2 linked regions of the Coturnix japonica genome follow. The protein of the gene in region 2 purifies or fractionates together with the protein of the main gene of each other region. This does not show direct contact. Links are inferred from orthologs where the notes say so. Each region holds a gene or a part of one and is shown on either strand. Other genes may lie near its edges.

Region 1 (7,738 bases), on a different chromosome or scaffold from region 2:
TAGTTTTAAGTTGCACAGAATTTCTTCTGCACACAAGGCACCTACATATGAAAATAGCCCCATGAACAGCTTTAAGGTAAAAAATTCTTGCAAACATTCTAACTTTCTAGAATGCAGTGCAAGAAATACACATGTGATAAGATATTTAAAAGGCTGTGTTCACTACTAACACTAATTATCAGCAACAGCTTTGGGTATCACTCCTTTGAGCTATCCCAATGCTAGAGAGCAGTTGTGAGAACAAAGGACACCTAGAGACCAGAGTTTGAAGGGTATCTATTTTATTGCCAAAACAAGTTATTACTTTTAAAAAAAAAAAAAAGTTACCACCTTGCATTTTTCACCCTTGCCACAAACTAGACATGGTAAGATAGGAAGATTTTAACTGGAGGACAGTGTCAAAGCAAGCTGCTTTTGATGACTGAATACGCGTAAGAACCCAGGCAAGTTCATAAAGCTGTGTGTTAAGGTATGTCAAGAAATGCCCAAGTCTATGTCTATAATATGCCTTTCAAATATACTCGTAAAACATTCCATAGCCATTCCAAGTAAAACATTCATTCCCCTTCCAGCCCCACCATGAGAATAAAGTGCAATCAGGAAGGCCTGAGAAACTATGTATTAAAAAAAGCAGTGTACAAGGCTCTTGTGCACCCACTGATAACCAGGAAGCATCTTTGGTTTTCTACAGAATTTAATGTGTTCAAGAACTGAAAATGGCTACAAATGGTGGCAAATGAATGCATAAATCAGGCTACTAAATTTGTTTCCTACTGATGGTATTGCTAAGCTTTGCTCTGCTAACAAAGCTGCAAGAGAAGCATCTGAAAAAGCTGTAAAAATTCTATTCTATCAATGCATTTTAAGCAGGACACAGAATTTCTCTCCTACAAGGATATGTTTACATAAAACCATAGATTAGTACACCATAGACCAACACAGTGTTGCCCTCCTCCAAAACATCAATCTGGAAAACTTCAGTATGGACAAAAATCAAAACACCAAACAAGTCACTGCTTTCTCAGGAAGCAAAGCCACATTATCACAACTTAATACAGCATTAGCACTAGAGAAGTTCATTAAAATCACCTTTTCAACAAAAACATAACACATCAAATCTGAAAGGTAAACCAAATTTATTTAAAACAAACAAAAAAAGACACTGCTATTCCCAAGATTGAAAAAACAGGGTGCTTTTACTTATGTCACACACAGCTCATTTACAGCAGTTACATTAATTCAGGGGAAAATGAGGTTTTCACACTGCTTCAGCTGACAGGTACTTTCTGCAAGAAAAACTCATTCCTCTTCCACAAAAAATAGGCAAAAACGTTCTATTAAAAAGTGTATGCAATTCTGAGACATGATCAAAACAAATCGTCCAAGAGCCTGAAACCTTCCAAGAAGGTTCAATCCTTGGTTGCTTCAGCCAACCCTCAGCGGGGGAGCTACAAGCACAACGCCGTCACCTCTGACAAAGAGCATCGGAATATTCCTTTTGGTAGACTATGAAGAAGCAAAGAAAAGATTACATTTACAAAAGAGAAGTATACAGAACACATCTACTAAGCATGTGACAAAATTCAATCCTAAAAAAACACCAACAAACATCAGCTCAAACATGCAACTTCGCGTCCTGCTGAAGATATCAAAATCAACAAGCACCTGGATGTCCTTTGTGCTTTCATAACAATTTGCCTAAAACACCTGCTAGATCCTAGTCCAAAAGGTGCAGTTATCAACACATTATTTTGACAACATGACAATCTAGATTGCAAGAAGTTTTCTATGGAGGTAAATACACTGAAGTCCTTACTTTATAAATCTCTTCGTATGTTTCTTCGTCAATCTCTATTGTTGTTACAGTTTCTTCCACATCGCCCAGAATCATATTTAAGTGCTGATCATATGCCTGTAGGAACAAAGTTCATTACTTCTTCCAAAATTCAAGCACAAGCTCATTAAATCCATAATTCTAGCAAGACACTCAAACAAAATTATTTTAACCTGATTTGGGTCAAGATGTTCCATGTGTGAACATGATGTATCAGCTGTAACTTCAACTATAAAGGCCAACATCAGTACTCCACAGCATAAGGAAGGCTCTTATACTCACTGAAACTCTCCTTCTGAAGCTCATGCACAAACTCTCAGAGGTGGACACACTTGTTCTTGTCGTTAGCATTAATCCAACTAAATATTATTTGCTATCAGCCCAGATTTCTGGGATTGGATTATCTATAGCTATGAGAGCTGTAACTCAAACAACAATACATAAATTTTAATTAAGCACTTGTTCCAAACACCCTACAAAGGGAACTTAGGAATTATACCAGTGCATCACAGATCTGTCCTCACCTTTTTGTTCTCAAATGTATTTGAGGCCCAGTTACCACATGGGAAACTGGTTCCCTTCCTCAGCACAGCACCACATTCCAGAAGGATAACACAACCAAACAGAAAACAAAAGTTTGTCTCACTAAGAGACATCGCTCTCAAAAGAAAACAAAGAACAAATCAAGTATGGAGAGAACCCAGCTGAGTACACATCCCAGCAGTCCTTGGGTTTGCTCTACAAGACAGTTGCTTGATATACTTATTTCCATCTTAACAGAGTCGAGAGTCCTTTATGAGATGATGCCTGCATTATTACTTAGTCCACAGACATGGGAATAAAAGCAAAAATCAAGAGAACGAATCACTTGGAATCATTTAAAAGACAACAGACACGGAAAAACAAAATGCACCTTTTGAATCTCTGGCAGAACACTGCACAAACCAAGCGCTGCTGTTGAGCACATTACAGTAACATAACAAATAGTTGCACATAACAGCACAGCCTGCTGCCTGCTTGGAATTGGCACTCACATGCAGCCTGCCTCTGAGCTCTCTGTCATTCCTCATCTTCACATAGATCCTCTCATCCAGACTGAGCCTGATGAGGTCGAGGGGCTCCTCGACGGTATTCGTTGTCTGTTGCTGAAAACAACACCGAAACAAGCAGTTATTCACGCAGGAGCAGTGAATACGAACTCCTCCACTCCTCAGTTTGCATTCTGAAACGCTCCCTCAAGTCCCAGTATCCACACAGAAGCAGACAGGCTGCATGGCTCAAACCAACACGGCAGCACGGCATATGGCAAAGGGAAGGCACACGGATGTGCCACCAACCCACCAGCTCTCTCTTCAGGCCCTCACCACCTCACTTGGCAGCCGGGGTGGCCGCAGAAACACCGCTCCCCCCTAAGAAAAGTAAAGAGCCATTCACCTGATCCACCTCGTCCGCCATCTTTCAAACCGCTTCTCGCTCTCTCTCGTGATACTTTATGGCCCGGCCTCTTCCCCCCGCTCTGAAGGGGCGGGGTAATGCTCGCCGCTATGGCGAGGAAGCGCAAAGCGTCGGTTCAGCGGGTGTCTGCCGGCAAAAGGCGGCCTGGAGGGGTGGGAGTACGGCGGGATGGTGCGGAGGAACGTGAGGAGGGTGAGTGTGGGAGGCTCGGCTTCTGGGGCTGCTCTGCTTTGAGGGAGGGAGGCAGTCAGCATGGAGCTCAGCAGCCCCCCATGATGGGCCGGGGCTGGAGTTGTTCAGTGCAGCTCTGCTGGAGCCTGCAGAGATATTGCTATGTATCCATAGGGATGAGGTTATATCCATGAAGAAAATTTCTTTCTTTTCGATGTAGGTGATTTTGTTGAAGAAAAACACAGTGTAAAGAAGAGCAGAGCCGGAGTTGCAGCTAGGAAGAAGGAGGAAGACAGTGATGCTGGAATTGCTAAGTTAGCAGAGAAGCCTTCAAAACAAAAAGGGGTAAAAGGGCGAGTGAAAGAAAATGAGAGAGACCCTGAAAATAAAGGGGATGATCACGAAGAGGAAAAGTGCAGGTAAGCTTAGCTGTTGTTCATCATGATGCGCTCTGTACCTCACTGTGGGTTGGATGTTGTGGTTGTTGTGGGTTGGATGTTGTGGTTGTTGTGGGTTGGATGTTGTGGTTGTTGTGTAGGGTCCATTGCCCTACAATGTTCACATAAAGGGGTTACGTTAAGCTGGCAGGCCAGTTTAGTTTGTCTGTGACACACAGCTGTACAGAAGTACTGCCTGGCTGATGGCAGGATCTGTCTGAGGAAGGCAGTCTGCATGGGAAGCAAATATCTGAGCCTTTTCAAATCAATATCGTAATTGTAAGATAGCGTTTCATTTATTTCTACACAAGACTAGGGAGGTTTTATGGCATCGAGCATGAACAGAAACATTGCTGTGAGATATATGGTCTTCCTGTAGAGATTTCAAGGGGGATTGTATTAATGAGAAGAATGAAGCTGCTTGGTCTCATTTCACTGGCCAACCAAATCATTGGGTGTTAGCGTAGTGAAACACAAGCACTTCCAATCCCAGTGCATTATGAGGTCTCAGTAAAGACAAATGATTCAATGAAGACATTCATACAAGCTGTTAGGAAAGATGGGTCATTGTTTTTAGGTTCAGTCATCTTCATTCAAACAACCTGTTAGAACCAGGACCTGTGTCTGCACTGAAACGTTGTTGTTCAACGAGCCTGTAATTATTCATGGCAAAGACTGCTCGCTTTACAGGCACACACACGGTTCAGTTGTCAAATACTTACAACCTTTACATCTGTTGTTACTGATGCAGAGATGATGCTTTGTTTATTTCCTCATTTTTGTTTTCATTCCCTTCCATTTTTAAATGAACAAACCCATGCACTTCCTGATGCTAAAACCATTCTTGTAATTTTAATAGTGACTCAGTGAAGGCCCCTCAGAAGGAGGTAAAGTTGAAGAGAGAATCTCCTATTAAAAAAGAGATGGATGAAGACAATACTGATGATGATGATGACGATGATGAAAGTGAAGATGAATGGGAGGACGTGGAAGGTAACAACTGCGTGTCTATTCTAGTTGTAAACATCCTTGTATGCAACAGGTCCTTTTTGAGCCATTCCTTGTTTTGTATACTTCTTATACTTAAGAGTATGCTTCATGTGCATATCTGGATTATAGGCTCTTATCTCGCAATACTTTGGAATAGTTCCAAAGTAGGAAAGAAACATACAACTGCTGTTTTGAAGGTAGTGCTTTGAATTTGACTATTTGTTGCTGTATTATTCATTGTTCATTCAATATCTAGTAACATTCTGTTTGTTTTTTCCCAGAACTCCAGGAGCCTCTTGTAGATAAGTTAGAAGAAGGTGCTGTTCTTCCTGAAGTTGTGCTGCCGAGCAATCCTGTTGAGATAGAGATTGAAACCCCGGAACAACTTATGAAGAGACAGAGAAGGTAAAAATGGAAGGTAGTAGAGAGCAGCTCAGGAATCTAGGAAGGCAGATAGACAGGAAGCCATAATATCCTTTTATTTTTTAATCTTATGCAGAGAGAAAAGGAAAGCTGAGTTTGAAACTTATGTTCGAAGAATGATTAAACGTTTCACTAAGGAAGTTCGTGAGGACACACATAAGGTACTGGTCAAAAAGAAAAGACTGTGCTTGAGATTTCTGAACTGATACGTAATGAAAAAGAAAGTAGGTTTTGAATAAAATAATTTGGGGCCGTGGCTAGAAGTGAAAAAATAACAATGTTGTATTCCTGACAGATGCTCATTGGCCTTCTCCTCATCTGTAACTTAGAAATGTCAGTCACTGAATTAGTAAACATTTAAATGAAAGCAGATTCAAGTAGGGTATATGTTTCTCTGTGGTGTGCATCTGCTTGTTCTACTTGGGTTAAACTGTCAGTCGGATGTAGAACAGGAGACACGGACAGGTACTGCAAGGCTTTACTGCCTTGGGACACCACTTAGTCCTGTGCCCACCCTTTTTGTGCTTGGGAGGTTTCATTGTTGCCTGTCTCTGCCAAAAGGAGCAGTAGAGGCATCCTGGTCATCACCATGGACAGTAGTTCCAGCAAAGAACATCTCTTGTGAACTCACTATAGAAACTTTTTTCTCTCAGGTTCATCTCTTGTGTTTATTAGCAAATGGTTTCTATAGGAACAGGATCTGCAGCCAGCCAGATCTTCATGCAATTGGTCTATCCATCATCCCCATACACTTCACAAAAGTTCCTGCAAGCCAAGTGGATCTTCTCTACATTTCCAACTTGGTGAAATGGTAATATACTATCTCCTAGTCTACTGTCACATAGAATATAGGGACAGGGGTACATGTAATTACATTTCTTCACTGATTGTTTTGAATTTAAACACAAGAGTGTTTTTTGTGAAGAAGGAAAGGATGAATTGTGAAGTTTAAGAGTATATTCATGACAGTAGACGATAAACAGGTATCTCACATTTCAGGTTTGTTGGAACCTTCACTGTCAATGATGAGCTTTCCACTGAAAAAGGAGAGCCCCTTCAGTCGACCCTGGAGAGGCGCTTTGCCATCTATGCTGCACGAGATGATGAAGAGTTGGTTCATGTAAGTGACTGGGAAGTGCAGGGTTGGTTGTTGAATTTGGATGCTGGATCCTTGCGAGCAAAGTGGTATTTAAGGGATTAATTTGGAGAAACAAGGCGATTCCTTGTTTTCTTCTTTTTTTTTGTATTTTTATATGGAATCCTGTGATTAAATTCTTTAGTTTGAACTGTATTAACTGAAACTTCTTGTTGGTACCACTGCATGGTTTATTTTGTTCTGTGGATGCCTTTGCATAGTGCATGGAACTACTTGTTTATAAGTATGCTGTGGCTTCCTCATATTGCTTTTTAGTCAAGGAAAAGCAGTTTATAGGTTTCTCCTGCAGTACTAATCTAAGTAAGAAAATTCTTGGATTTACTTGCAGCCAGAGAAACTCTTCACAGATCTTTGAGGTAGAAGGTTGGTAGCTGGTTATTATCAGAGTAACCACTGGATGCCAACAGAATTTAGTTTTGATTTAGTGCATCTTGAGGACAAGGTTTGGAAAGAAAACACTTAAGCTCTGCAGTCATTCTCTGGTGGAACTGGGTTAAGACAAGAAGTGGAGTCAGTTGTTTCAAGTTGTACAGAGATTTCGGTAAAGCAATCGAGGGAAGAAGAAACAGAGGAGATAAAACTGATAGGACATTTGAAAGAGCTGCTGCTTTGCAGGTGCATGGCTTACAGCTCTTCCCTGTTGCTGATATACTGGGATGTTGCAGCTTCTGTGCTGCAGAGCAGGAAGTGGTTCTTGTGATGTCTTTGCAACCGTGCTGTGTAAATACAAAAAGCAGCCTCCTGTGGCAGGAAGTAAAGACAATGCAAGCCTTGCTTTGGACACTTACTAATGGCAGCTTCTTTTAAGTCCCATGCAGGAAAGCAGGTGGCAGTTCACAGCTACTAGCCACTCAGTTGGGACTGTAATAAATAGCTGGTGTTTCTTCTGGGTTCAGTTGATGGTATGTAGTTGGCCTTAGCAACCTCTGGGAGGGAGGATTTAGAGAAATCTTATTCAGTTTGCTTCAAGAATGAGAGGAAGGTAGAGGATAAATGGGATCTGGGTGAGTCATTTAGACTCTTCAGGCTATGGATCTTCTATGAGTTAACAGCAGGACCTCTGTCACTGTTCTAATATGAGTAAGAACGAGGGAAGACAGTGCTTTGATGTAATAGCATCTGGGCTACACATCTGTGTCAGTGTCTACAGCACTGAGTAAAAGACAGGAATGAAAATGGTTTCTGACCGAACCCAGGATGTGAAAGAGTTTCAAGGGTTTTTTTTTGTTTTTTTTTTTTTTTTTCATACACCTTAAAAAACAAAAACAAACA
Region 2 (7,111 bases):
TACTATTTCTTGTGCTTGAATTAGAGAATGAAGGTTTTTTTTCACTTCTATTTTACTCTAACTTTTTGCTGCTAGAAGTGTAATGAGAACAGCAATTATATCTGAACTTTCATCCTTAGCCTTTCCCTTCTTTACACATCTCCAACACGCTTTGAAAGCTAAACAATTATTCCACTGATCTATCAAGCCTAATGCTTCTTCATACTGCATTGCTGTTGAAAGTGAGTAAGATGGTGGAGAACACACCTTACTTTGTTGTTCTCGTAATATGAAATGAAAGTCTCCTCCTGAACTTCAGGCAGCCCATTAACTTTAGTTTTCCATTTTCAAGTGTACTGACTCTCATCTCAAAACACTCTATATACATGTATTCAGATGCAATTATAATGCTACATACTATGCAAACTCTTAAGGAAACACAGCTACGAAAAGACTGTAGGTCTCTCCGCTGAGAAGAGAGACGGACATAAAGCGACTCTGCCATCAAAAACACATTGCCAAAGAAAACTTACCTTTCACACTATGTTTGCCCTTGGGCAATTTTGTTATGTGAGAAGCATTCTTCAGCTCATACCTGGATAACACAAAGAATACACAACAGTGTTTGATATTCATCTTAAAATTTCTTGGTAAAAAAAAACACAATGTTTTTTCAGGCTTCAAAATATGGTGAGTTAATTTAAATTCTATTTTTCTGAAGCTCAGCAGCCTTTATACTTCAATTCAATGACTAATTTTATTGATACCGGCATCTACAACATGATTCTAGACTTGCAGCATTTTTCTACATCACCCAACAGTTTGTCAAAAAAACACCAATGCTGTTTTTAAAGAAATACAAAGCACTCTTCTTTCAACACTGAAGAGGCTTTCAATTTTAACACAAGCTTCTATTATAATACCCTTAAGCATGTTTAGAAAATGCTCCTAATGAGCTACTTACATATTTCCAAGGGCAACTTCTCCCAGTAGTATTAACCCAATTGGATCAGCCTGAGATGTATGACAGTAGTTGGCACTCTTGGACACCATGTCTGCAAAGTAGATGCCCTTCCCAAACATGTAGCCAGTCTGCAGCAAGGGGAGGAGTGAAGTGGGAAAAGAGATTGAAAAATTCATGCAATAATATCGGTAATATAGAGACAATACCGAATCCATTTGGCTGAGCTCTCAGGAAAGCAAAGCTGCAACTCACACTCATAGACACTATACAGCAACCCACTCTGGACACTGAATGTTGTCCTTGTGCTCGGAGATAACACTGGGTCCTTCCCCAAAGAGAAATCCTACTATTCAGATTCCCTCTGACCATGACCACTTCTGAGCACAAGGATGGAGGCAGCCAGAGAATCTGTCTGTTGAACATACCACAGGAGCTTCAGGGGGAGCTATCCGGAGACCCTGTGACAGGATACCAGCAAAGTTGGTGGTGCGGGAGCCGTGCCACAGCAGCTGGCGATTATGAAGCTGCTTAAATGGCTTGTAACGCTGACTCTCTCCTTCACGTTCAATCCTGAAGATCTTCAGTTCGAAATGAGATAGAAGAAAAGGAACTATTAAGTAAATAAGCCATTATCTTCATGCAAACAATCAGGTAAATAGGTCTACCTGCTATGAAAATTGGTCTAATTGTTTTTCAGTGCTCACAGCCTGCTGTGTCATGCTCGCAAAAGAGGTAGCCTTGATCACACAGGATTGTATTAATCCTTTACTCTCTCTTCTGTATTTTTGTGAGACCACCACTTCCTGAAAAATCATCTAGGGAACTAAAACTTGATTTCAAACAACTACTTTTTAGGCAGCAAATTAAGGTGAAATTTAAAAAAAGCTTAGTCTTATCTCTGTCTAGACTTTTCTATTTAATAAAATACTAACTGGTCTATCAAAATCTGCCTTCAACAAGGGGAATAAGGTACTCAAAAATATAGTGAAGCCATAAGCAAGTAAATAGGCTGATAAAGCTAATCTGCACAAACTTAAACCCCAGTATTCCATACTTACTTCCACAACTTTGAGGTCATATGCATTGTGAGTAGCAGCATGAGTATTTTTCACATATTGTTTAATAATCTTGGCTTCTTCTGAATCTTTGTCAACCACCTGCAAAGAAGCAAATGAGAAGGTCCTCTAGAATACAAATTTCAACAAATACTCAACTAGAGAACTGCTGACAGTGGCAACAGAAAGGCACCTCTGGAAACTTACATGACTTTCAATTGCCCTGTTCAAAGCAAAGTTAACTGTAGCAGATTGCTATGCTCTGAGTCCAGTCATGCTTTGCAAAGATAGAACCCATCAGAGCTTCTCTGGGCAACTTTCACAGAAAAAAAAATTATAATCTCTCATTTCAATTTGTTCCCATTGCTTTTCATTCTATCAGCATATACTACCAAAATAAAACTAATCTGCCATGATATTCTCTATTCCCTTCCCCCACCTAATATTTATACACACTGGTAAGATACACCCAAAGCCTTCTTTCCTCCTCATTAAAAAGCCCTAGGTCTCTTAGCATCACCTTGTGCAACACATGCTCCAGCACCAAAGCCATCTTGGTGGACCTTCTTCAATGCATGTGTCCACTCTAAGCTTAGCTGATCTGTTAACACTCCAACAAGACATCAGCACACATTCCTTGTCAGTCACTCTTTTTTTTTTTTTACCTTAATATCAGTTCGGAGCTTTTCATAATTGATATCAATTGGGTCTTTATCTCCATCTTCATTTCCACCTCTGAGAAGACTGTAAGCAACCTCAATATCAAGCAAGTTGTCCAACATCTGCACTTTAGCCTGAATAATTCAAATAAGTTATTTTATCGCATCACTGATGTTCAGAATAACTATAAAATATTTCCAAATTATAAAAACATATGTGAAGCACAGGCACTGGCATTTAACAACACTGCCTTTGAAATATATGTTTATATATAATACACACGTTCATGCATATATATACACAGGTTACAACTATGTTTATGTATCTTCTGAAACTTTATATATAATCTCCATATGTAAACACACATATAAACAAACAAAAAAAATCAGATACCCTGAAAAACCCACAAGCTTAACCTCATGAAAGCAGGGAATTGAAATAATTGCTCACAATTCATGAATTTAGTGTCTGGTATCAGGCCTGTTGCCTGCAAACAACACACTATTTCTAGCAATTACCTGGATGTATTCTAAGTTACTGAGAAGAGGTGGTTTCTTCATCCCAAAGTCATGAGGGATCAGCGTATAGAAACGGTTTGAGAGGTCCAGGATCTGGGATTCCGAACCACCGTCAGAAACTGCCTATACAAGACAACAAGCAGCAAAAGAAAATTACTGAATAGGCCAGAATATGGCTCCACAGCAACAGGTGCACACAGGATACTTGAGGACAGACAAACAGAAGCAGCAATAGAAATCACTAATCCAGCAAACATACACAGCTCACCATTCACCCCATTCCAAAACACACAACAACCGAATTCCCCACTTGCTCGAACATCTCTGTCCCACTCACCTGCTGAACCTCATTAAGGATGGAGTATGCACTTTGGATCTGTCGCTTGCTCAGTTTCCCCAGTGGCATCTTCTGCAGGTCAATCTGATAAAGTTGTGAACAATTAAAACAGGATTTCACTACACTGAAACTGTTCCAGGGAACAAATCTCTCCAGATTGGTTCATACAAAGAAAAGAAACATTTCAGACTTGGTATTAATCAAGCAGTAGTATCAGAAAGACAGCTCTTGCTACAGACAAGATGTTCTATAAACAAACCAATGCAGCAACAGTAGACCACAAAACACTAGGTGTCTGACAGGGATTTTAGCATTAACCTACTGTCAGAGGTGCTCCTGAATCACTGTGGTAAGCATACATTTCAGGCTAATAATGAAGCAATATGAAAGAATTCCTGCTCATAAGATCTTATGTATAACTACACACAACCCACACACTCTCATCGAGCCCCCAGCTTTAATGCTACAATAATCAATAGTCAAATGCACAGAGGTTACAAGATACTTAATACTTCACATCCCTGTCTAAAAAAAATGAGAAACAACTAAGTCAGAATTGGTGCTTTGACTGCCCGCATTTATCTATTAACTTATTTCATTTCTTGCTGTTCCTTTTGTATTCATGGATCTTGAACGAGTTTCAGATTTGCACTAAATCTCCATATATTATTTAAAACAACCAACTGGCAGGATCTCTGCTCCTTCAATGCAAGGAGAGCTAGTACCAGACTGATCTGTAGTAGTGTGAAGGAAAGAAGAATGGATGAAAAGAGGGTATCATTAGAACAAATGAGAAATATAAAAAACAACAAATAAAATCTATAGGTTGGCCTAGTTCACAAGGAGATGTGATACAGACATTCCCTACTGTAGAACAAAGAACACACTCATGTGCATCATAACTAAGTTATTACTTCCACTGCTTGTCAAACCCTGGTCAGACTCCTGCCCTTATTCAATACTGATCTAAAACCAGCAGTGACTTCTGCAAAGTACAATACCCTGGACTGCAAAGAACTTACTTCAGGATGTGCAAGTATGATATATAGAGAATAATCGAGACACATGCACGTGTGTAGTCACCTCAAATTCCACCATGGCTTTCTTCATGCTCTCCACATCAAAAATCATCTTAATAAGGTCCTGGATTGGCTTAGCAAGCTTTGATTTAGTCCCAGCACTCACTGTCAGCTTCCTGACAGCTTCTTCATCCTGGGAAGAAAATGTAGTACCAGAATTAGTAAAATCACAAAGGAAAAGGTGACAGACTGGCTGCCATGGTAACTAATTTAAACCAATTTAATGTATGCATAATATTACTAGCCTGAAGTTCATAGGAAGCGCTGGATGCTGCTCTGACTTTGTGGAGCAAAGTGGCTTCAGAAATGTGCCTGTTCAGTAATTGGGCAGAAGTGTTTCAAGAGGCGGCATTGTAAAATAAAGGTAGAATTAAGGGAATTGAACTGTGTACATCTCTGCTTTAACTCAAGCAGCCGTATTAACTCGTTCTGCAAGGTTTAGTTGCAGAGATCATAGCACTAAAAAAAAGAATGCTTATTTCATTGTTTTATAACAACATAGAGATACAGTAATTAGTTTCGGTATGATTTTATAATAAAAATGGCCATCAGTGTGTACAGGCATCATCAGTTAGAAGCAATACTTCCTAGGAGTTTTCCTGGGTAGAGTGTTTCATCCACAAAGCATCTGCCAGATGCTTCAGTGCCATTGCACACCGCAGTATAACAGACAGTTTCCTGCTGCAATATTCAAATTTCCATTAAGAAAGCTAACCATGGACTGCTTCACACTGAAAGACGACATCCAGTAACATGGCTACAGAAAAATACAATGGCTTCAAAACCTCTGATGTCTTTATAGCTATTAGCAGCATTCAGCTATGTTACCTAAAAATAGACTAAGTTATGGGTATGTCTTTATACAAGTACATAAACTCCCACCGGGTAGAAGGGATAGAATTCCTATTTAGTATAGCTGTCTAAATAGCCAAATCCTACTGGTAACAAATATTTTCTCCTTATCAGCTTGCTCAACATACACACTGAGCACTGGGCTGCATTAAGATTCATTTTACCATTTGGGAGAATTTTGAATGCAGAAAATAGATGAAATTTTAAATAGAACAAAATGGGGAGCTTGTGAAATGACTGCTTACTTCATCTCAAATTAACTTCTGTAAGATTACACAGAGTAAACAAGAATAATTGTCCCCCCTGCAGTCTCCTTGCTGTGCTTACCATAATAATTTGTGCAGCAAAACCCCTGCACTTCATCCCTTTGTTTGTTAAAGTGTCAACGAGCACAGAAGAGTTACAGGAAAGCAGCTGAGCAATGCTCTACCTGGCATAGGGACATTTAACAGTTACCTGTCCATAATCTATTTCCAGTGGGTAGAATTTTTTGGGATATTTGGTGAAGTTCTTTGAATGCCAAGAATTGCCAGTTTTTTCTTCATACAAATTTAGGAAATGTTCAACAGCATCTTCTTTTGATGGCATCTGCTCCAGCTTGTTACTCCCAATGACAGTGCCCACACGACCCCAGGATCTGAACACCCAGTACCTAAGAAGTGAAACCCAAGAAAAAAAAGCAGATGTAAAGGTTCTGGCTCTATAGACCTCAGCCCAAATGAAACCGATTCTGCAACTGTGAATCAGCCATTTGCATGTTGTTAATTTAAGGAGACATTCTGCAAGAACGCAACAGAAGAGCCACCACAGCATCTATGTCCAATAACAGGTGTAAAGAACACCTGCTGTAAACACACCAGACGTACAGCTCTGAAGATGATTGCACACACAGCACGAGAGAAAAGGGGAAAGAAAAAAAGAGGCTATTACCACTTGAGTCAATATTTTACAAACACACATCTTCAGACTTTTCAGTTCATGTATTTGGGAAAAAAAAAACAACAAATATGGGGAAGACTCCCGACATCACAGACCTTATGAGTGGGCTCCTGGATGTTAAAACAGAAAAATCTCCTGTATTTTTATGGGCTGCTGTCAGTCACAGAGCACTGAGACCCTCCTGTCTTCTTAGGACTAGGTTAATTGAATATCCATTGTACGCACCTCACTCATCCCACGATGCGCAAATGAATTCAAACAATTCAACAGCTCCCCCTTAGCTCCTCCCACCTTTTAAAACAAACATATCTATCTATCCATAACTCCTTACAGCAACATTTTACTTATTTCTTCCTTTTGTAGAAGCCAAAATTCCAGAACTCAGTAGGAAAAAAAGCAAACAAAGTCATTTCAGGGGAAAATTGAACTCACCTGCTCTCTCTGTCATCCTCTAGCAGCTGCAGTTTGTAATAGGAATTTGTTCCTTTCACAATATCCACCAGGCCAAGAGTTGCACTGAAAATCTTCCCACCTTTTTCAAAGACATGAGCAGAATCCTCCAAACCTACAAAGAAGGAACAGAATTAGAATACAGAGGTTACCATTTTAGGTTTCTTTCCTACATTCATGTTCACAAAAGTGTTTCAAAATTGCGAGAAAATTATCAAAATATCAGAAAGAAGAGTGGTAACATGCTCAGTAAAATCTATTAAAATCTTACTTTTGTA

What was found. Proteins that work in one complex are often made in the same cells at the same time.
Region 1: the proteins of PARP1 (region 2) and XPC purify together in Homo sapiens (affinity purification with mass spectrometry; 4 studies listed by BioGRID and IntAct, counting the BioPlex papers as one, with this or other methods). This does not show direct contact. The link is inferred for Coturnix japonica from reciprocal best matches to the Homo sapiens genes PARP1 and XPC.

The regions. Positions count from the first base shown.
Region 1 is NC_029527.1:8,364,282-8,372,019, reverse strand, and holds the start of XPC (DNA repair protein complementing XP-C cells), read left to right. Parts: upstream 1-3,342; 5' UTR 3,343-3,366; coding exon 3,367-3,481; intron 3,482-3,680; coding exon 3,681-3,879; intron 3,880-4,756; coding exon 4,757-4,890; intron 4,891-5,168; coding exon 5,169-5,292; intron 5,293-5,386; coding exon 5,387-5,471; intron 5,472-5,963; coding exon 5,964-6,121; intron 6,122-6,309; coding exon 6,310-6,430; intron 6,431-7,738. Other genes in the region: U6 snRNA-associated Sm-like protein LSm3, read right to left, coding at 1,426-1,506, 1,817-1,912, 2,869-2,979, 3,269-3,289. UniProt on the Homo sapiens protein: Involved in global genome nucleotide excision repair (GG-NER) by acting as damage sensing and DNA-binding factor component of the XPC complex. Has only a low DNA repair activity by itself which is stimulated by RAD23B and RAD23A.
Region 2 is NC_029518.1:14,827,877-14,834,987, reverse strand, and holds part of PARP1 (poly [ADP-ribose] polymerase 1), read right to left. Parts: intron 6,949-7,111; coding exon 6,816-6,948; intron 6,097-6,815; coding exon 5,901-6,096; intron 4,726-5,900; coding exon 4,597-4,725; intron 3,598-4,596; coding exon 3,514-3,597; intron 3,300-3,513; coding exon 3,177-3,299; intron 2,793-3,176; coding exon 2,664-2,792; intron 2,101-2,663; coding exon 2,002-2,100; intron 1,522-2,001; coding exon 1,369-1,521; intron 1,072-1,368; coding exon 944-1,071; intron 575-943; coding exon 513-574; intron 1-512. UniProt on the Homo sapiens protein: Poly-ADP-ribosyltransferase that mediates poly-ADP-ribosylation of proteins and plays a key role in DNA repair.